4 linked regions of the Drosophila melanogaster genome follow. The protein of the gene in region 2 interacts with the protein of the main gene of each other region in a pairwise test. Each region holds a gene or a part of one and is shown on either strand. Other genes may lie near its edges. The genes, in order: l(3)neo38, caup, CG4766 and CG7991.

Region 1 (5,503 bases), on a different chromosome or scaffold from region 2:
TATAGGGGTTATGTATTCTATATATCGGGAATGGAAGCGACCGACCGCCAGACCGTCCAACCGGTCACACCCTTCCACTAAAACAAAAAAAGTTGCAAGTTGGCAGGAAGTCAGTGCAATTAAAAAGGCAAAGGCAGGCTCTCGTGGGTTGGGGGTTGTAACTCACACTCAAACACACACACACTCACTCACATACTCTCGCCCAACACACATACGTATATGCATTTAATTGTATTTCTATGTATGTGCTTAAGTAGCTGAAGAGAGCGGTGAAACCCACCCCTACAAAAAAACAAAGTGAAATGCAGCAAATTCAAAAGTTATTTGAGTTCATTGCATTTTCAAGCCACGCAAAACAACAACAGCCATAGCTTACACTCACACACACACAGGTTACACCCACTTGGGGGTGGGTGGTAATGACTCAAAACATAGAGCGGAATATTCGTATAAAAAGAGCGCAAAACAAAAACAACGACGAAAAAATCGTTAAATTCTGCTTTGATGACAGGGTATACTCGTACTCGTACTAAGTCGCTCCAACCCGCCAACCAACCCCCAAAAAATTGTAGTGCGGTTTACAAATTGCCTGAAGAAGATGTCTTTGCTAGCCAGAAAGCGAGAATTTCGTAGATGGGGGTGGAAAACCCGCTTACACTCACACATGTCTTTATGCGAATGTCAGTAAGTAGATCCAGATGGAAGCCACCTTTCGCTGGGAATTCAAGGAAAGTATTGTTCGAGTTTCAAGTGGGACTTTTTTTTTAGCTGAGTATTGGAAACGAAATTTTAACTAAGCTTCAGAGAATTGAAACTATTGAGAATTATTCATAGGATTGTCATAAGGTCCTACGATTTGTTTGAAGCAAAGTATGCTAAACAGAAGGTCAAATCAAACTTTATGTTGAGATCAATAAACCTCTTTGTTCGTGAACTCCAGAATATTATTGTAAAATAATACAGCTATAAGCAATTTGTATTAATTTCATTTAAATATTTTTGCTTACTCTACTTGCTTTTTCCTGCCGTCATGAATACTAAAATATGAACCAATTGGACAATCAAGAGGTGTTATTCACCGAAATTAGAGGTTGTATATTTTTTACGTTTTACTATTCTCATTTATGATGATCTTAATCATAAGTTATTGCAAGAAGTACCCGTTAGTTTTTGATGACTATCAGCAGCCCGTTTAGTTTATTTTTGAAAAAGAAGGCTATCCAGAAGTTGCCATTCCAACAAGAGTAGTGCCCTTTGCCCCAAAACAAGACCCTCTGTGTGTAGGGCATTAGGCGAGGCAGTAGCCGACCCCCTCTGCCACTGCCTCTGTCAACGACTCTGTCTCCCCACCACCACCGCCACTGTCGCTGCTCGAGTGAGAGTGTATACCCCCTGACGCTTTGACGCCGGCGTCGCTGCCCGCAGCGGGCGAAAATAAATCGATAAAAATAAAATAAATTTTTAGTGATTATGTTATACAGACACATGTGCCTGCATGTGCATTGCAGGCGATTGTCTGTCCGTATGTGTAGCCACATTGTAAATGTTGTATAGTATAGTGTAGTGGTGGGGCAGATGCACTTACCGTTGGGCACATTCTGATTAAAGTGATTGCCATTGGTCTGATATCGCTGCACATGGTTATCGGTGCCGGCCGCTGCCGCTGCGGCTGCTGCATTCGCGGCAGCCGCGGGGGGCGTGCCGAAGGCGCCCGGCGTCTGGGCGTCGAATTTAGCGGCAAATTGGTGGATGCCGGAGAAGGGGCCGCCGAACGCGGAGAAGTTCATCATGTCAGGATCGGGATGATCGGCGGGGTAATGGATAGTAGTTCTAGGGCCTCGAGGGGCCCTTTTGGTTTAAGCAAGACAATCTTTCGAATCGCTTTAGCACTAAAACTCGATCGGTCGCTAATATTACTTGCAATTCTATTTCTTTTCTTTTTTGTAATTATTTTCTGCACAACGCGAAACGATGACGAAGTGTTGTAGTGGGTGGTGGCGGTAATGGTAATGATGGTGGTGGTGCGCTGGTTGTGTGCCTTCTGTTGTTGTTTTCCTGTTCTCCGCCGTCGCTGGTGGGGGTTGGTTTTCTTTTCTTTGCCTCCTTTCCCCTGGTCGCACTCATACACTAGCACTCACACAGAGGCACATAGACACACGTACGCGCTTACGAGCGCACAGTTTTATGCTGTGCTTTGCTTTTTCGGGGGTAGAAAAGCAGAAAAGCGGGCCCAAACACAACACGTACACACACACACACACTAGCTCGCACACGCGGAGAACCACTTTCGGTTTCGATTTTGATTCTCGATTCCGCTGGATTCTGATTCCGATTCTGCTTCTGCTTCGCCTCAGCTCGAACTAAGCACGCACACACAACCGGCGGAACGGAGCGGAATCGCACTAAAGTCTCGCTTACGATTTCGCTTACGACCGGCTCGTCGAGGCTCCGACATCAAACTAAAAGTAACATTACAACGAGGCGAAAGAAAGCGGAAACACTGGGCCAGGCAAAGCGACGCGGACGCGGACGGCGGCAGCGCTGCGACGCAAATGACAGTGACAGTGCCCAGAGGCACGCTGGGTATATCGGTTGGGAGGTATTCGCACCCCTTTTCCTCGCTTATGGTTTAGATGGTTTTTAGTTTTTATATTTCGTTAGAGGGCTAATGGCACTCGTTTTCATCCAATCTCTCATGGTTACCTTTATCGGTAGTTTAGATGGGTATTTTACCTATAAGTTGATCGTTTAATTAGTTTTTCAAATTATTTAATACATATAATAAATAGAATGTTTTTAAATCAACCGATTGCTAATGATAATTTTACACCCCTTTTAGCGCTCCTCTTGTTAAATATATTTTTTTTAATTATTCCCAAGATCATGTTAAGCATTGGCAATGACCCCCCGCATTTACTGGGTAGCAACTATTCGTCTACCAACCAATTGCACGACTGCAGCATTCTTACATGTCTGTATTAGTTCGCTGTGTGTTTGTACGACTGTCTGTATGTTTGTGCGCTGTGTGCCGCTTTGAGGGTGGAAGTTTTTCTACTTCTCTGGAAAATGCGCGTTTATTTGAACGTTCCTTACATTTCGCTGCACCGAGTGTCGGGCATATGACACTGGTCCCAGGCCCCTGCTCCCGAAATTGGCTTGGTCACTTGGCCAGATTGCTGGGCAGAATATTCATGCGCGATCCGTGCAGGCGAAGTGCAATTTATGCTGGGACTGAAGCCGATACCGAGCTGATCCGAACCTCATAGCCAGACACGCAGTGAGACGAGCCACGAAATTCGCTGTAAGTTATCAGGATGAAAACCGGTTGGGAGCGAAGCATAAAAACTGGTTTCCAGCGAGAGATGAGCTACTTTTTGTGACCGCCGTCGAGGCAACAACAAATGTATTGACAACGTCGACCAGGATGACTTTTTGAATATCTGGATTTGGTTTAGGCACAGCAGAAAGGGCCATTAAGATTGCATTTATGTATTTTAATGGTAGGGAATAAATTTATTTGCATAACAAAATTCTGGATCTTGATCACTTTGGATGCCCTAAACTACTAAAACTACTATTGTAGTTCTTTGGAGGGTAAAAGGATAACCTGCTTTTAATATATTTCCTGATAATGGCTACCTTGTTGAAGAACATTTTTTAAAAATATTACATTATATCTGGGTTTGAATATAGCCTTTAGGACTCGAAACAATCATAATGAAATTTCTTATTAACTTGCAAAAAGGGTACTCATAGATCGACGTAGAGTGTCCACAAGAAAAACGCACATACAATGCGCCTTGTATTTTTATTTGGTTTTCCAACTTTTTGGGGTTGTGTGGTATGGCTGTGCACTTATACGTTTACATGTGAATATGTCAGTTTGTAGCGGCGTATGTACGATGTGTTTTCAAGTATCTATGTTTGGCTATATGCTTGTGTGCATGTATCTGGATCTGTTTGCCCACGGACATGTGTAGACGAAGGGAAAGGAGAGGCCGAGAGAGCAGAGCGTTCTCGAGCGCATTGCTCTCGTTGCATTCAATTCTGCCTCTGCTGTATGTTGTATTAATGAAAGTGAGTCCAGCGGCGAAAGAAAGCAGGCCGTGGAACTAAGACAAGTTCTTTTTTTGATTCCGCTTCTGCCTCTGTTCTCCTGCCTTCTTGCAAGTGTTTTCATGTTTTCCAAACCCACATCTAGGGGTTCGAGATCGGTAAAATAACTCCCCCTAGGAGTTTCGACCCATTTTCAATTAGTGATCCCTCTTCATTATGAATTTTGATGACAGATAAATACTTGTATGTACATACATATATATGTACATACATATATACCCCCATTTACATAAGCTTAATTAACGGAAATATTTCTATAACCTAGAGATATAATAATATGCGTATGACTTCTTTTTTTAATAAATTTAAGCAATCTCTATTTATAATATTAACATTATTAAGTAACAAAATAAATGCGCAGGAGACCGGCAAGTCGATTCGACTGCACCTTAATTTTTATGTGTTAATTCACATATACACGTGCACTTGCATAAGCGCCTGTGTGTGCATGTCTGTATGTCTTTTCTCATTCTTGTTTTTTCCTGTTGCAGTCTTGTCTTCTACTCGTTTAATACAGAGGGTTGGAGTTTTTTACGTTCTCTCACATTCTCCTTGTTTCGTCTCTCACTCACTTGCTCGTTCTCTCGTCTTCTCTCTTTCTGCCGCGCTTGAATCTTTGAATGCAATGCTTTGTTTAGCTTGATTTTCGAGCAATTGCAACTGTTACATGTGTTATCTAGAGTTTATATGCACATTTTCCAATTATTAATTACTGCCGATCGACGGAAGATACAAATATTCTGAGTATCGAATAATAGTTAGAAAACTCGATCACCGGCACTATCAAATATTTTGATACTCTCACACTCATGGGTACAGAATGTACCTGCAGATACTTCGATATACCGATGTACATATACATATGTATGTACATAGTTGTGCACATGTACACAATGTATGTTGATGTTAGGTTATTTGTATGTAACTTGTTTCCTTATTCAGCATCCTCTCCAGACCCCCACTCCATCTCCCCCACACTCATTCGGAATATAGGGTCCCACACAGCATAAACCCGACTTAGAGCCCAGAAAACCCTTTCCTCTGTAAACCCTTTCACCACTTGCAATTATTGAAAATGTCAAGGACCATCAGCGAGCTCAGAATAAATAAAAATTCGTTTTGTAATGGCGTTTATTGGTTTTATTAATTATCATGAGCTTTTAGTGGGCTGAAAGGCTTACAGCGAAATGTCGGGCGTTGGGAGGGGAATTTAATCTATGCTAATTGAAAAGGAGAGGCACAGCATTGCAAAATAAGATTAAGTCCACCATGCACACTTTTCCTAATACACATTTATAAATGTTTGTTTTGTTTATTTTATAAATAGCCACATATTGTTTGTCGTATATCATATGGATATGATCCTTGGACCAAAAGAGCACCCCCA
Region 2 (5,456 bases):
AATGTTCGAGTGTGTGTGCTGCACTAAATGAAAGCAGAGCTCAGACAATGGGAATCCTGGGATCAGGACACTTATGGGCACGGGCTACGTGCTCCCAAGGATATGCGACATGTGCCACAGTTCACATGTCCGAAGTCATCAAACAAATCACTCAGAGATATTGATTCAAGGAGGTAAACACTGCAGAAAACATTCGATTCAATTAAAATATACTCCAATTAGCATGATACTCATTTTACATATTTTCTTAAACATTTAGTATTTATTTAATATAAGCTTATAATTATGCTAAATATAAATTATATATAGATTATTTGAAATGTTCATCTTGTGTATCTTCAAAATATCGAAACTTAAAAAATTACACGAGTATAGTCCTGCTTATTTGATGATTCAGAAATTGTTTTAATATATGATTACTTTACATAACGTTTTGGTATGATTGGATTGCATTTATGTTGTTTTCAATTGAAGAATAACTATTTGCAACTTTTAAACCAATCACAATTTGGCTCTTTAGAAATTCAATTTTTAAAAGCATACATTTTAAATTTCATGGATGAATTCTTTATTCTCAAATGCATTTCTTTCATGTGAATCCTTTCGTATTCCAGATCCCCAGACTCATGAAGTGGGTGTAGAATTTCGTGGCGCCGCCAAGAGCGTCCAGAAATTGAGTACCGATCAGGAGTTTGGGCATTCGGACACTTTTCCCAAAAATACCCGGTGCATTTTCATTTTCCTATGCAAATGACACATTGCTACACACACATTTACATATGCGTTCGTTTGTAAGTACCGAAAAAAGTGCCACATGTGCGTCTCTTTTGACTTTGAGATGCACTCGCATTTATAATAAATGGCAGCGCGTTAACACCCCAAAACATCAAAATACTCATTTTACAAAAATTCCCCAAAAACGTTCAGTTCCCCTCCCCACCCCGCCCGCTCCACATACCATTAATTAGAACGCACTCGACTCGAGGACCCTCAAATGGACCGGCCACGCCCCCTTCCTTGGATCGAATGGAATCGGATTGTTTGTTTGTTTTTTCTCCTATTTCGGTATCTTGTTACGATTAGCTAGTCCCAATTAGCTGCGATTTTCGTGATTTGGCCTTGAGATATTGGAGCATTAAGCACTTTTATGGGAAATGTACAATGCATATATCAAGCTATTTTTAAAAAAACACACACACACTGTAATGATTAAATGTTGTTGATGTTACCAATAACGTACGGATTAGTTTTCTTAAATAAAATTAGATTTTGGCTTTATATACTTGCAGACCTTCTAAAATAATTTAATTTGATTACTTTTTAGATTTTCCAAGTCCTTACACCACCCAAAATTTAAATGCACATTAAAATATCAAACTTTTTGTTTATTGGGAGCCAAGATAGAAAAGCAAATATGTTTATTAAAATATAAAAACATGCTTATATTTGTTTGCTGTATGTTATTTTTTGTAGTTTGATGTGACATAGATTATATTTATTTCAGCTGGGCTTATAAAAAAGGTTTTATGTTTTTGTTATTTTAATATTGAAAATTCTCTTTTAAAATTTCAAAGAATAATTGGAAGCGGATCAAATAAAACACTAAACTACTCAATATTAAAGAGATTGTATACCCACTCGTCTTGAAAAACATATCTTTATATGCCTGCAAATTTTCTTAAACATTATATTTAATTAATTAAATTAATGTTTGATTTTTTGAGATTGTAGAAAAATGTTCCAATTCTTCCCACGAATGTATGCCCAGACGTATTTTGACCAGTTATTATGATAGCAAATCTTCAGCAACTCTTTTCTAGTTTTTCCAATTATTTCTGTATTGTACTTTTTTATCAAAATCGGAAAATTCTTAGCCAACTTTGGCTACAATATCCAATTGGGAAGCCTTTCGATCGTGGTCCGCCATGAAATCGCTTCCAACGTCGACAGAGAGGGGTCGGCAGAAAGAGAGCGTCGACTTACTTTCCAGTGCTTGGAGGTGGGCGTTCTCAACGAACAAAGCAACAACAGCCCCAGAGAGTCTACCCTTCTCACTCGTTACCAGACCACTCACAGACGTGCAAGCGAGAAGGCTGCTGCTCGTGGCTGCCAGTCTGATTGGAACGCTGGCCAATGGGAGAGCTCCTAACTGGCTGGCTCTCTCGCGGCCCTGCAGCCATCCCGTTTACATCGCTGCTGCCATCTCTGTCACACGCAACCGCGCTGCTCGCTGAGCGGCCGAAAAACAGTTTGTTCCGAAACGCGAATAGGTGCGCATCTTCGCATCTTGGCATCTCCGCCGCGTCGCCCAGTAAACTCGAAAAAAGGCCGAAACGAAAGTACCGACGAACGAGTTACAGTCACCGGATAAGTCACAGTCGGTTATTGAGTCGCAGTCACTGCCGTCGTCACCGTGGAGATACCGCTGACAGGTTGGAACGGAACCCGTTTTTACTGGAGCATTGCCAGCGGATCGGATCGGCAGATGCAACCGACGTAGATAATGAAGTGCGTGCAATAGTTATGATAAAAGTAAATACGAAAAAAAGGGACCCGAAAAGACAGGCAAACCTCTCTAGAAATGTCTCGTTAAATATCAAAAGAAACTCGCCATAAATTCGAAACTATGTTTATTATTATGGATCACATATCAAAAAGTTTCCTAAGCTGACTTTAAAAAATTTCGATACAGTGTGGAAAAAACTGAAATACCAATCAGTGGGTAAACTCGCAAACCAAACTGACACATTCTTTTGACCGAAGACTGAAGAGCCGCGTACATTTGTAAATCTGTTTGCGGCAAACACTTGAATCCAATTTGCTTTGCCCGGCTGTCGTCTGTGTGTGTCTTTTTTTAACCATTTTGGTAACCGGCCGCCAAAGAGTCAAACAGAGTCAATAAAAATCAAGTTAAAACGGATGAAAACGGACGAGCGAAATAAAACAGCAAAGTCACACAAAACAAACAAAACATTTTCCGGCTCCGGCGACATTAACAGAACTGCTCGACATCGACAATTTGTTTTATCAATTTTCAACAAGGCCAGCCAGCAGCAGCAACAACAACAATAGCACAACACCCAACAAGCCAGCAAACAACAAAAGCGCCCAGAGTGCTTAGCCGTCGAGCACGCACGCCAAATCCGCCCAGCCACCCAACCCAACCACCCACTGGCCACCCACTTGAACCTCCCTTAAGCACCCAACACCATCCCCACATCCTTGGCCACCCCTTTTTCGAGGGCTCCGCCAGCATCCGCATCCGCAATCGCAAAAAAAAATAAGAAAACAACAAGCAAACAACGAGGGACGCCCCACAGTGAAGCCCCGGCACAGTGAACTCGCGTGTCGCCGCTCTTTAGGCCAACTCAGCCAGCGAGACAATGGCTGCATATGCGCAGTTTGGATACGCTGGCTACCCGACGGCAAATCAGGTGGGTTTATGCCGGTGGTTTGTTTAGAGATTAACAGTTAACCGTTTTTTTTAAGTCTGTATTGATTAGTAAGCAAACTTAACTTAAGTTTTAAACGGTTATTTAGCACAGACAACAATTTTAAGGAATCTTTTAGTATGGATCCAATATTGTATCTTATATATACATTTATATTTGCTTTGAAAATGTTGCTCCCTTTAGATTTTGTCAATAATATATTCAATTTTAAAAGTAACAAATTCCAAATCAATTAAAAACCTTATCCAAATTTTTTTTTGTAATCTCATAATTTGTGTTCAAACTGAAGGCCATAAATACCATATTATAAAGAGCACTTTGCTTACAATAATTATTGTGAATAGAATCTGAAGATTTATAAATACATTGATTTAAATTGAGTAGAATGCGAAAAACCAGTTGAAAGAGCAAATTTCTGAATTATTGCTACTGGGTGCCTTAAATTTAAATTTAAAACAGATGGCTTAGTCATAACAATTTATATTGGCCATGAAATTAAATTTATTAATTTCGTTATATGTATTTATTATATTTTGATTTACAGCTGTGCCATTTCAATATGCAGCCATAACTTAATCATTTCAAGAGACACTTGAATATACTATTTATTTAGTGCGGACTAAAATAATATTTGGCACACACACAAAAGATGTTTCATAAAACCAGAAACTGAGTCAGTTGAATATTTTGGCATGTGCGAAAAGGGAAATCTTTAATAATGGACGGTGCGAAATAACTTTAAATTTACATATTAAGCCGGCGGGTTTGGGGAGCAGCCACTGCACATGAATATTCAAGCACTTTGGCACCGGTTGGGGCTCCTGGATCCCTATATATATACATACATATATATATAGATATATATATATATATGCGGATATAGCCATAATGGCCGCCCCGCCGCCAAGAAATGTTTCACAATTTAGGACAGCCGTCACCGCCTTGGATGCAAATCGCTGGTAACCGAAGGGGGGGGTCTGGTGGGGCATTCCGGTGGCAGTGCATCGTCCGAGGTCTGGTCATAATTACCCGGTATTCGGAGCTCAGTAATTCAAATTAGTTGGCCCAAACGGGGGGAAGTGAAACACTTGCAGCTACAAAGCCCTTGCAATGCCTGTGTAAGCCATGTTCAACGACTACTATGTGGTCAAATGCGTCAATGCTAGTGCGTTTATCCTGCTGCCAATTTATGTACATTTATATATATACATATGTATATATGTGTGTATGTATACAATATTCCTGACCACGGTGGCTGGCATAAATTTATGCTAATGAAGCCGCCGGCGGAGTGGTGCACCATTTATTATAATATGCAAACTTGGTAAATTACAATAATTAAAATAATGAACGTTCAGATTATCGACTATAATTATGGCTGGAGATGTGCAAAAAGCCTTTTGCCTTGCAATCGATTAAGAGCCAACAGAATTTTGTCATCGTTTTCGGCTCATTTGCATACGTCTACTAAAGCCACTAAAAGCCACTAAATGCGACTAAGCCACCAATGAAAGACTGGTCAGTTGATATGGCATTCGGGTGCCAAATTTATGCAGTGCACACACTCGGGTTCTCATTAATTTAATTTTAATTTCGACGCCAAGACGGCATTCCAAATATAAAAAAAAACGACAATATATAAATTTAATCAACGGCTGACAGTTGGCAGTAGCAAAAGAACTTGCAGGCACATCGCACATCGAATTCTTAACTTCCCATGCGAGCTGTTCACGCATTTCATGGCAAAATAACTAAAATTCTAAGGCAGCAAAAAGTGCGCGACGATGTCGAGTCCTGGATTCACATAGGCTCCATCTGAAGCCCCCCCAAATTCCCCATCTCCATCTCCATTGGGACGCAAAAGGACAAGCCCGTAAATGATGCGAGAAAAAACTAATATTTCGCAGTGTGCATTCCATAATTGATTTATGAATTTTTAATGCAAACATTGAGACCGCAGTTGAGTTGCGAAAGAGTTGTTCCACTGCGAACCATAGTATTCTG
Region 3 (6,384 bases), on a different chromosome or scaffold from region 2:
AAAAAAAAGCGACGATTGCACATAAATTATATTCAAATTTCTTTGAGATCTAAGAGATATATAAAATACGGGAAAAACACACACATGCCACATGAAGTCACATGAATGGTCGGCGACCCCGAGACCCACGATCCTGGGTCTGAAAACCGAAAAACTGGAAAAAAAAATAAAAAAACTGTGTAGTTCTCCTTGTTGTGGCCTTTTTTTTAGTTTCCTCTGTTTGTTGAAATTTATGCAGATATGCGCGCATCTAGATAGGAGTTCCAGTGCCACCTCCATCTATCTGGTTACGTGGAAATCCAGCGCGCCAAAAATCAGCCAAATGCCATGGAGTGGTGAGGAGCACCTGGCATCGTCGTTCTCTCTAAAATGGTATCCCATCCAATCGTATCCCATTCATTGGGGCTCCATTAAAATTCGGCTGACAGCAACGATTCACGGCCCCAACAAATTGGAATGGGCTGAATACTATTTAGATATGGCTAGATCTGCTCAAACTGCCACTGATTGATGTCAATAAAGCCGAACAAAAGACCTAACAGCCAACAAAAGATACAGTGGGCCTTCGTTAAGTGGCCAAAATTAGTTTAAAGGGCCATCTAATTGATCATATTCGATATATAGTTTTTTTTAAGTATTTCGCTGTATATATTTCCTAACTTATACGTTTTTTAAAACTTTTAGTTCACTGCATCTCTTTCCATATATGTATGTATCTTAAACATTTTGTATCCATACCTTGCAGATACGTCTTTAGATACTTCCGTCACCATGGGATGCTTGACCCCTTTTTTCCGCTTCCTTCTGCGAAAATTCTGCTGGTCGTCGGCAATTGTGTTCGGTTTGTGTTTTGCCTCCACTCGAATTAGTGGCTGCGTTTGGGATTTGTCTAATTGGAGGAGGCGACGGGCGCTTTGATCTTGCCACATGTCCATCAAGTACACTACATATATGTATGTATACACGATGTACATATTATTATATGGTATATAAGACGTACGGAGAGGGGGAAAGGCGGTAACCGAGAACGGAGGAAGTTGCTCGCTTGGAACTGAGAGCGCTGTCAGAAATTGCCAACTGGCACATTAATCCACGCGACATATTTATGAGTGTAAATGTATCTGTGTATCCGCGAGATGCGAGATATAAAGATATCGGCCGGCAAACGTGGGACATGGACGAGGGTTGCTCGTTGCTCGCTGCTCTTTGCTAAATGAGTGCACATTTCAGATAAATTATTGCACACAACTTGTACGCGATGGCAGGCCGAAATGTATTTAACAAATTAAATTTACACACAGATACACACACCGCGGCTCGCAAGACTTCAAAGAGGGCGCCGCAGCGTAACGGCCGCCAAATGGGGCGTGGCCTCGACGGGCCAATGGCAACGCGCCGCTCTCACAGATACACAAGCAGGCAACCCCATAGATACACCCATACGCATGCAGGCCAGAGAGACAGACAGAGAGCGTATTTGTTTTTAGTACACGCAGAAAAATGAAGTTCTGTTTGTGTTTTTTATTTTAATGTTAACTAGTAATTTTAGTCAGAACCTTAAGTAGGGAATTATATTAAATCAAATAACCGAACTATTTCTTCTTTGAAAAATATAACATTTGTGATAAGAAGAAGTGGCTCTTTGCTACAACAACTAAGAAAGAGTTACTATTAGAATTGTATCTATAACGTTTAAAGTGCCTAGATTTTTGTCAAAGTGCATCTGGCAGATACGACAGATACGCGGGGCCTGTGGCGAGTATCTCATCGATTTTTTAAGCGTCGGAATGCGTGGCACGAGACAGAGACCCCTGTCACGTGACAGCACCGACATGTATCTGTATCTTTGTGTGTGCAGCTGTGTGTATCTGAGCCTGTGAGTCCCATTCATGCCACTGCCACCGAGATGGCGGATTTGTTAGATACTGGCATGGATATTGAGATACTTCGCTGCAGCCGGGCCAAACTGCACTTTCAGCGCTTTTTTTTTTATCTGCCCGAAGCTGTAAATATCCGCGAGATTTACAACGCCAGCCAGCCGCGACTTCGGTATCGGTATCAGTATCGTTTGGCTGACTTCGATTCGTACTCGGAATCGGCATCGGCATCGGCAGCGGCATCAGGCTGGGGGTATCGCTATTGAGCGCAGCGCATCATTCGGTCAGCAATTCGCCAATGCAGATACTGTATCTGCGGGCAGCAGCTACTAAAATTGAAGAGCCAAAAGCTAAAATACCCATATACATACTCGGTACACCGCGGTCATCGTCGTCGTCGTGCTCCACTTGTGCCCATTGTTGGTTCTGCTGTCACCGTAACTCACAATTGAATTGTTCCTTTGTTCTGTCCCGTCCAGAAGGAGACCCGCTGCCGAATTTCGCATAATTGGCTGGCTTTTAAGTTGGCCGCCAGACCAAGTGTCGCCGGTAAAAAGATACATCTACAGATAGATCGTTGTACTTTTGGTACTTTTGGAGCTTGGTGGAACTCGAACTGAGTACCATGCTGGTGCCGCCGGACATGATGGCCGCCCAGACGCGCATGGTCTATCAGATGAATCGATTCTGCACGGAGAGGGTTCAGGCCAGGATGTACAAGACGGCCACCGCCATCCGGGAGATCTGCAAGATCGTCCAGGACATCCTCAAAGAGGTGGAACTGCAGGAGCCGCGATTCATCTCCAGCCTCGTCGAGTGCAATGGCAGGTAAACTTTTTCAGTATCTTTTCATTAGTATCTCAGTATCTTTTCTTTAGTTTCTTAATAACCATATATTAATAACTATATTACCTAATGTTAAGCCGATGCATAAGTTAGCTAATAAAAACGAGAGCTGCTCATCCGATCAGAGATGTCTAGTGTTCCCAACCACAGAGCCATCAACAAGATATCTGGGTAATTCCAGTGCCCTGATGACTGTCATCGCGGCTACTTCTCACTCCAGTAGTTCCACACCATTGCAATCAAATCCGATCCTCTTCACTCCATTGCGATCATTACAACCAAAGTGCAGAGTCATTGTCAGTTAACTGACAAGTCATGCTCATCGAGGTCTCGCCACCAGAAACGGAGTAGCAGTCGCCCCCTATTATACTCATTTCAACACGATAAACTATCAGATTAATATATAGATTTAAAAATATATATATAGTATTGTAAGTAAGCGGTTTCATCGAAATAGTTAACATCACTTTTACAGATTCGAGGGCGTTGAAGTGATATCCCCGAATGAATTCGAGATAGTGCTGTATCTGAATCAAATGGGTGTCTTCAATTTCGTGGACGATGGCACCTTGCCGGGATGTGCTGTTCTGAAGCTGAGCGATGGAAGGAAGCGGTCCATGTCCCTGTGGGTGGAGTTCATAACGGCCAGTGGTTATTTGTCCTCCCGGAAGATCCGTGCCCGTTTCCAGACTCTGGTGGCCCAGGCGTGCGATAAAAGTGTCTACCGCGACATGGTCAAAATGGTGGGCGACACCAGCGAGGTGAAGTTGCGCATTCGGGAGCGATTCGTGGTCCAGATTACGCCGGCATTTAAGTGCTCAGGCATCTGGCCAAGATCGGCGGCCCACTGGCCGGTACCACATCTCCCGTGGCCACATCCCAACATCGTGGCGGAGGTCAAGACCGAGGGCTTCGATCTTCTGTCCAAGGAGAGCGTCATCATGCAGAACAAGAACAACAATGCCGCCAGCATGGAGGGCGATGCCTGGGTGCTCAGCTTCTTCGAGGCCGAAAACCGTCTGCTGCAAGGTAAACATCTTATGGATACACCTTTACACTTACAGAAAAGATCACACAATTTACTAGCAACTTTTAGTATAGTTTGGGAATTTGAAATCTGGTGTATTTAAATCTCATATTGAATTCCTTTCAGGTGGCTGTCGTCGACGTTGTCTGAGCATGCTGAAGACCCTGAGGGACAGGCATCTGGATTTACCAGGCAATCCCATCAGTGCGTATCACCTGAAGAACCTGCTGCTCTACGAGTGCGAGAAGCATCCGCGGGACTTTGAGTGGGACGAGGGCTGCATCGCTGACCGCATCAATGGGATATTCCTGCAGCTGATATCCTGTCTGCAGTATCGCCGTTGTCCCCACTACTTCCTTCCCGCACTGGACATGTTCAAGGGTAAATCCCCCAGTGCTTTGGAGCAGGCGGCCAAGCAGGTGTGGCGCTTGACCCGCGAGCTCCTCACAAATGCCAACGCCTTTGAGAAGTTGTAAGGTGTCAGAGGTTAAAGGTCACGACTGGTCGATAATGGCGATGACATTTTTGGCAGGAATTTATAATTATTAACCGCACTCATAGAGTGAATATTGTTCTTATTTTTTTACCCGTTAGATTAGATTCTTTTGCTCCATTCACATATTGTTGATTTGACTAACTTCTTCTTGCAGTCACGCAAATATCGACCCATCCGAAGTCGGGGGAGTGCTGATGTGTATGAGGTGCCAGGCAAGTCGGAGATGAAAGGTACATATGCGAATAAATACATACGCATAAGCACAGCTCCTTGGCGGCCATTTTGTGCCATGTCTGTGTATATGTGACTGTCTGCGTGCGTGCGCGTGTGTGTGTGTGTGTGTGCGAAAGTGTTAATGCGAAGATGCGAGATAAGTCCACTCCCCATTCGACTCGACTCGACTCGACTCAACTCGACTCGATGCGATTCGAGATATATATCTGCCCATCCAAGCGATCCGGCTAAGCCTCGAATATTGTTTTTAATAACTCGCCCCTCGACGCTCACGACACATCCTTTGTTTGGCCGGCGAACAATGGACTCGCCGGTTCGCAAGTCCGGATGGAAAAATCGAAAAATCGAGAGAATGAAAAAAGAGCATTTGTCCAGGCGGCTCCTTTTACACGGTGGCTATACACACTCGACGTATACGATTGTTTCACAGTTCGCAGATCCTAGATCAAAGCAAAACGAACATACAAAAAATATATAATATATACATATAGCGCTAGAACAGAGGGAGATACAGATTCCATTGATCGTTCCAAGTCCAACTTAACATTGTTTTACTACTTACATATACATATACACATATTTATGTATGTCGATGTCTATTATGCGATGCCTAACATTTACCACGATTATCCGCAGTTTGTTTTAAGTACAACATAATCCTAGATTGCTAATGTAAAAAATGCTTGAATAAATTCAAGGATAGCCAAAGGCAACACTCCAGGTATTGTTTTCCTATCAATAGGGATTGTATTTTAAATCACTTGATTGCTTAGCAAATACTTACACAACACTTGCTGAAAGAACATGGAGAGTTAAAAAATGGATGTTCTTAACTGATATTCATATATTTAAATGAGGCTGACAAACGGAAGATGTACCACAAAAAAAGGACAAATCTGGAAAGGATGTGCTGGGATCTCATTAGTTCGATCGGCGGTTGAGTTAATGTTATGATTATTGGCAGTGGCGAATATTTATTTGCAAACGACGACATATCTGGATCTGGATGTGGATCGGAATCGTCTTGGGATCTGAGGCTGGGAAGATGCAGCTGCTGCAGCGACAACTGAGCATCACTTTTATTACCCTTATTTATGGTTATTTTCTGGCGGGGGCTGGATCCACGAAAACCGAGTGGTTTGCCTGCTTTGTTCTGCGGTTCTTTTGTCCCTTCGCTTTACTTTATTATTTTTCGTTTTTTTTTTTCTTTCTTTCTTTTTTTTTGGATTTTTTGCGGAACGAAAACTTTCAGCGAATGTAATCGATATTTTCCTCGATGGACGCGTCGACAAAAGGTGTCTCTAAACGGAGAGCACGGGATATAATCAGCGTCAGCACAAAGAGCCAGTTGGTCGGAGCGATTCGAGTCCAAGGATATGCCAAGGATATAATAATGCGTGGGCCAAAATAACAAATTATGCCAAGGCACGCAGGGATCATGTTACGCAGCCCTCCATCACCAGCAGTAACCCCTGTGCCACTAACCCTCGACTGGGTGGCTTTGGCTGTGGCTCTAGCTTTGGCTGTGGTCCTGTTCTTGGTCCTGGGAAAAGCATCATCAGGTGACCGAATCGGTATCCGAGTCCGCAGGCGAATCCTCCGCAGGATGCGCACTTGGCCGCCAGCGGGAGGACACGTGACTGCCTGTTTTCCTTAATTTTCATTCACTTTGTGGGTGGAGATGCGACCAGAACCATGTGCCAGTTGCTTCGCATCGATAAGGCACGATTCCCATTGCCCCGTTGACAAATGGTATTCGAGAGGCCATTTAATGGGGGCCAACAGTTAGAGCTCAGTTCGAAGTACCAGGAACCATGACGCAGCACCTGCCCATTCACATGGCCAAGTCCCAAAATCATCCTGATCCCGGGCAGCCTTCTCATTTGATCGGCTGTCACAACTTT
Region 4 (5,841 bases), about 11 Mb from region 2:
GCATCGACGGTTCTCCGCGTTTTGTCCGTTCCCGAGAGCAGTTCGTCGTACTTCCGGTTGTCCTCCATCACCTGGCGACCCTCCTCCGTGTCCGCCAAGGCGGTCATGCTGCGCCGTTCGAATAGCACCACGATGGGAGTCTTTCGGAGCAGCACCTTGATGAAGGGCGTGGCTGGAGGACGGGCGGAGTGGGCGGAGCGGGCGGAGGAAGCAGGCTCCTTCAGATAATTCGGTTCCTCCAGAGTGGGCGACATGGGCGTGTCCAGCTGCAGCTTGTAAAGATTGATCTGGCGAATAAACATACTGTATGGCTTGATTTCTTTGGACATTAAGGATGATAGGCACTCACCCCCAAGGCAATGTCATCCAAGGAAGCTCTCATCACGCACTTCGTTCGGTACTCCGGCGTACGGAGCTTATGGAGTTGCTGCTGCTCCGCTCCGGGCTCCTTCATCAGCGGATGGTCCCTAATCATCCTGCTCAGTTGCTCGAAGTCCGCGGTGCGGTAATCCTTCCTCAAAGGTCGCGACATCCTTCTCAATTAATTTGAATGAGCGCGTGCCGCCGATTTCCCAACTTGTTTACTGCGTGTGCAGACATGGCAACGCAACAATGGTGGATACAATATATGGGTGCCATAACTACCAAGTGCTGTAGTTGCACTCCGATTGCAACACGGAATTCCATTAGCAGGCTCACACATGACTGCACTCATTGCGTCCATAAATATTTATAACTCACATTTAAATCGCGCAACAAAAGTGCATAATAAGTGGGTTGGTAAGCAAAAACGTATATTTAAATATGAATGTAGTTCCAGTTGTGCAATGAAGATGAAGCCACCATAGTCTAACATCAATTTGGATCATTACCTTTAGTGATTCCAATAATTTGCGCGGCTTTCTGACCTGTCACAAGAAAAATCCCCCAACCGGAGAAAAGCAAAACAAACTATAAACTACAAAATACAAACTACAAACTACCAACAAATGAAATTCGTATTCATATTCCAATTAGACAGTAGAAGAATAGCAGACGGAAAATAGTTAGATGGTATATGGTAAAAAGGTCTTTAATTCCGCCACATAGCCGCATAGGAAATGGGCAAAAGATGGGATGAGGAGGAGCACTTGGCCATGTGGGCGATTGAGAGCAGCAAGCCGTGCAGCACACTGAACGAAAATAAGATCGGGTTAAGAATGAAATATGATTAGGTTAAGTGCTCACAGCAAAGAAATGTATCTACAGAGAAATTATTTCAACATGAATCCCAAACTATAAATATGACAATCTTAATTTGAAGATAGCTTGTAATAATCAAAGCGATTTTCCGTGTATAGAAGATATGGAAGTCGAAAAGAAGTTGTTTATGTTAATTTGGCTTTATGCTTCGCTACGCTGATTCGCTTGATGAACATATAGCAAAAAAGAGGGCTGATTATGAGGACGACGACGACGACGACGACGATGACGATGATGATGAGGGGGCCCAAACCGAGCGAATATGGCCAAGTGCACTATGTCAAACGGAGGGGCACACGGCAAGCGGGCAACTGATGGCCAAGAAGAACAAACCATCAAACCGTCAACGCATCAAAGCGTTAAGTAATAAATGTGCAGGCAGCCAGCGAAAAGAAAGAGTTAAGAGCAAAAAAAAAAAAACAAATCCAAGCGGGCTATAAACAATAGTCGCCTGTCTTGCAGGTTGCGTGCATTTTGAACTCTGCACGAGCCAACGATCGTTGTTGTTGGCCGATTTGGCCAGACTCTTGTTGTTGCTGTTACACATTTTGGGGGCAGCAACAACCACCTACAGTCAGCGAAATTCAGTGAACCGCCACCAACGCGACGCCAACTGCGACGCCGGCGGCGACTGCGCAGTCAGCGCCACACTGAATTACATCTTTGAGGTGTTGAAAAATATTAATAATATTTTAAAATTACACTTTAAGTTTAAGACTCAGTTCTGTGATAGCTTTTTAATGGACTAACCCAGCTTGTAAGCAAGCTGATACCACTGATGTAACTACCTTTTAACTCCAGCCAGTTGTTAGCCATGTTTGTCCAGTGTTTGTGAGATAATTAATAATTTTGTCGCCAGCCCGCAAGAAACGAGTCTGCGGAGTGGACCCTGTTTTGAAAAGTGAAATAAAACGCCACTTTTTACGAACATCTAATTGTGTCCGCACCCTGGAAACCCATAAAACGCGCCATCTCCATCTCGATCCAGCCCATGGGCTGGCTATTAGCCATATGTCGCTCGCATTCAGATCGTCTGGGCTTCTTACACCTGTTTTATGTCCCCACTGGCCCCAATGTGCGACGACTGCCCCTTTCGGAGCGTCGACTGCGCCGCCCGGCGTTTCGGTGTAACACATTTTCAGTTCGTTTCCATTGTGGCAGGGAGCGCGGAAGACCAGCGAGCCAGCGAGCCAGCGCGCCAGACGAGAAGAGCTGGCGGCAGAGCGAGCTCAAGTCGAGCTCGGAGGTTTTTTTTCGAGGCAGCGGAGCGACTTTTTATTCGTTAATTAACCGTCGAGCGGGCCAGAAGTCCGAGTTGCTCGGCTTAACGGAAGTGCTGAAATCGGGCGGCTAATTGAGCACACCTCGCCTCCAGTTGACACCTGAGACACCTGAGGGAAAAAACGAATTGAAACCACTCCACATAGCTCGGGTCATAACTTTCCTCGCTGGCCGGCTGCTAATGTCTCAATTTGTTGTGCGCGTTGGGCAAGTGCAGTTGCCATTCAGCCGTGGCTGTATCTGAAAGATACAATTCGGGAGAGCTCGGTTCCTGAGTGATTCGAAGTTTATGCTAATCAGCTGTGTTGCTCCGCGAGAGGGATCATTTCGCCATAGACCCACACCCGCATAGCCAGTGATCACATAACGAAATAACGAAACCAATCAGCAGACGATCTTATCAGCGCCAAAAGAGGAGGAACACAATGTTGTTTTGGAAGAGGCGTCTTCAGCGATCGAGCAGCTCTTCGAGTAAGTCCCCGTTTCTATATGGCCAAGTTTGTGGGAATGGTGGTAATGGGGGACGGGGGACGGGACCACGCCTCCAACGATTGGGCAACAAGAAATATGATTTCGCCGGGCAGGTGAATTTCGATTTTCGGTCCAGTGACAAGCTCGAATATTTTGGCCTCGACTCATCTGCATAATTTGCATCTTAAGCATTATTTCTGGCTGTGCCCAGCGACTGGTTTATTGATTTTATTTCAGTGCTTCCCTGGCCAAGATCGTAAATTCACCCCGCTGGGCTTCATCACCCACAAAAGACTTGGACAAATACAAATGGGAGCGCGAGCCACGCGGGACATGAATAATAGCTCATATCTGGCCATCGAAATTCTCGCCGAGGTGTTCCCTTTGTGGATGACGATTGCCCAGAGATTTATGAATGGATTTAATGTGTTTAGCATAATTATGCAGATCGCCGTGTAGAAGATAATATCTCACTAGGTTTGGTTTCAAGCGTAAACACTTGGGATGGAAGTGGAAAGATTTGACACATTCACGATCAGTCGGATAAAGATTTGATGGTCTTAAGGGGCTTGGGAAGAATGGGTTTACTAACCAATATGATTATAGTGTGGTCAACACATTGTACCCTAATCCCCCACTTGAATCCCTCTCCTTCCTTTGAAAACCCATGGCCCGCAGTCAGGTGTCATAACAGATTTGTCCCGATGGCCAACAAGGTGGCCAACTGCTATCGAGCATCGCATTGAAAACTGTCCCTTTTCCCCACATTCCTGTGGTTACTCTTCGTCTTCTCCCATCCCATCCCATCTGCTCCATAACTTTCCAACCAAGTGCCGACTATGTGTCTCATTCGCTGTATCTCAGTTCTGAGCTCTCGGGGTTTATTTGGGATCAAAAACATGACTTTGACTTGTGGTAATGTGATGTTAATGACAATCATCAGCAGCGACACAAGCAATAACAACGCAGGCAGAACGAGGAGGAGCAGGAGTAGGAGTAGGTGACATCCACACCACCGCCACATGAAAGCAGTAGTCCCAGTAGTGGGTAGCCCCGCCTCCTGAGCCGCGGAGCACGCCTAACACGATTCCGGAGATCGGACATCTCTGCCAGCGACATTTATTTTATGTGCGTTCCGTTCCCGAAAGTCGTGGCCCATAATCGGCTTACCCAGAGTTCTTGGCTCTACCATACCGCAGTTGACACTTCTGGCTATTTGGTTCGCTTAGTTCGTGCCCGGAGTCTTCTGTTTTTATAGAAGCTGCCCATCAAGTTGCAGGTTTAATGGTCGCTTGTGGCCCAGTGCCGCATCGAAAAATGAGTTCGGCGTTTTGTTGTGACATTTTAATGGCCTGACCGAGCTCCATTCCCCACCGCCGAGATGGTTATCAATATTACAAAATAGTTTTCGGCTTTCGGTGGAAGCGTGCTGGATGGGATTGGAATGGTAAACAGTGTCTGGAGAATTATCTGAAACCTAAGACGATGAGCAAGGTGGAACAATTTAAATTACCATAAATCAAAACCCACAGATATACTGTGTAAGAAGTGTAGAAACATAAGTTCCAATTGAGAGTTTCTCACCGAGTTTAGTCGAGCTCTATTTGGGGCACTCCATTTGCAAGTGGCTTAATTCCCATAAATTCCGTTTGTAGATCTTTCACTTGACCGGACTGCGTCCCCCTTTGAGACCCACTTAGCCCACATCTTTGGGTCAGTCCTACACTTTCCGCGCATTCCACGAGCTCGGACCTCGAAAATTGTCTGCAAATTGCTCATAAATTACATGAAAACCGTCGCAATGCCAAAAGCTGCACCTACACCATCATTATCAGCTTGTAAATAAAAAGACTTTATCAATCGTTAAGCCGCGGGCGCAGACTCGCCATCCGGAGCCCGCGTCCGGGATCCAAGATCTCACCTCATAACATAACATAAAAGTCGTCCGGGTGGAAGGAGATGAGATGAAGATGGAGCGAAGGTGGATGCCCATTCCCATTCCCAATCCCATTCCCATCCTCATTCCAGGGCAAAACCCTGGCTCCGCTGCGGTCAAGTACAAATATTTTTATTTATGATTTTACAGATCAGCATATTGCTCAATAATTTCACCGCACCGGCAACAAAATAACTTTCAAATTACGCCTGCCGAGGATCCTCGCTTAAGTGCGCCAATTTTGAGATTATTATTGCCGGCTGCGTATGCAGATAATCGTGACCCAAAGTGCAGGAGGATGGGGTGCCCATAACTCAGCCGGTTCAGCTGGGAATCGGGAATGAGCTGGAATGATCCTCGACCAGCAAGGACTAGTGGATTGAAGCTGGTCAGCCACCGATTTAATTACTCTATTTGGCTAGTTTTTTGGGGTCGAATTTAGGTTGTCTGCGCTAGTTGGGATCTGGATTTGGATCTGGATGTGGAGTATTTGGGGCAGCTTAATATTTTCCCATAAATTACTCGGGGCCAGGAGAAAATTACTTTAAAATTTATGGCCCCGGCATCTTACACGCTGATTTGGCCCTTTTATTTTCGGCTGGCCGTTTGGTTTCTTTCTCTGGCCATCGAGCATCGAGCACTGGCTGCGAGGATCTGGGAACAGGTCGTGGCGGCGATGCCCCCACCGCAGTGATATCCGCGTTCCGAGGGGGCGGTCCCCTGGAAAGTTCGCACGATTGATGATCGACTGCGAGTCGCAGTTGCCGAGCTCCAGATTCACTGGGCTCCCTGGGCTGCGATGATGACGCCGTCCTGTCACCGCACTGACATCGCTGTTTATGTAATTACCGCCGGCCGCGCAGCGATCACAAAGCTATCCCGATATCCCAGTACCAATCCCAATCCCAGTG

The links.
Region 1: the proteins of caup (region 2) and l(3)neo38 interact in a two-hybrid assay, tested with the Drosophila melanogaster proteins (one large-scale study listed by BioGRID).
Region 3: the proteins of caup (region 2) and CG4766 interact in a two-hybrid assay, tested with the Drosophila melanogaster proteins (one large-scale study listed by BioGRID).
Region 4: the proteins of caup (region 2) and CG7991 interact in a two-hybrid assay, tested with the Drosophila melanogaster proteins (one large-scale study listed by BioGRID).

Annotation. Positions count from the first base shown.
Region 1 is NT_033777.3:11,775,889-11,781,391, forward strand, and holds the start of l(3)neo38 (lethal (3) neo38), read right to left. Parts: upstream 3,241-5,503; 5' UTR 3,094-3,240; exon of another isoform or gene 2,970-3,093; intron 2,734-2,969; 5' UTR 1,791-2,733; coding exon 1,586-1,790; intron 1-1,585.
Region 2 is NT_037436.4:12,607,386-12,612,841, forward strand, and holds the start of caup (caupolican), read left to right. Parts: upstream 1-2,245; 5' UTR 2,246-3,383; coding exon 3,384-3,434; intron 3,435-5,456. UniProt on the Drosophila melanogaster protein: Controls proneural and vein forming genes. Positive transcriptional controller of ac-sc (achaete-scute). May act as an activator that interacts with the transcriptional complex assembled on the ac and sc promoters and participates in transcription initiation.
Region 3 is NC_004354.4:5,996,315-6,002,698, reverse strand, and holds CG4766 (uncharacterized protein), read left to right. Parts: upstream 1-1,901; 5' UTR 1,902-2,502; coding exon 2,503-2,705; intron 2,706-3,198; coding exon 3,199-3,752; intron 3,753-3,876; coding exon 3,877-4,226; 3' UTR 4,227-5,191; downstream 5,192-6,384.
Region 4 is NT_037436.4:1,672,174-1,678,014, forward strand, and holds the start of CG7991 (uncharacterized protein), read left to right. Parts: upstream 1-2,535; 5' UTR 2,536-2,948; coding exon 2,949-2,994; intron 2,995-5,841. Other genes in the region: CG13930 (uncharacterized protein), read right to left, coding at 1-287, 350-532.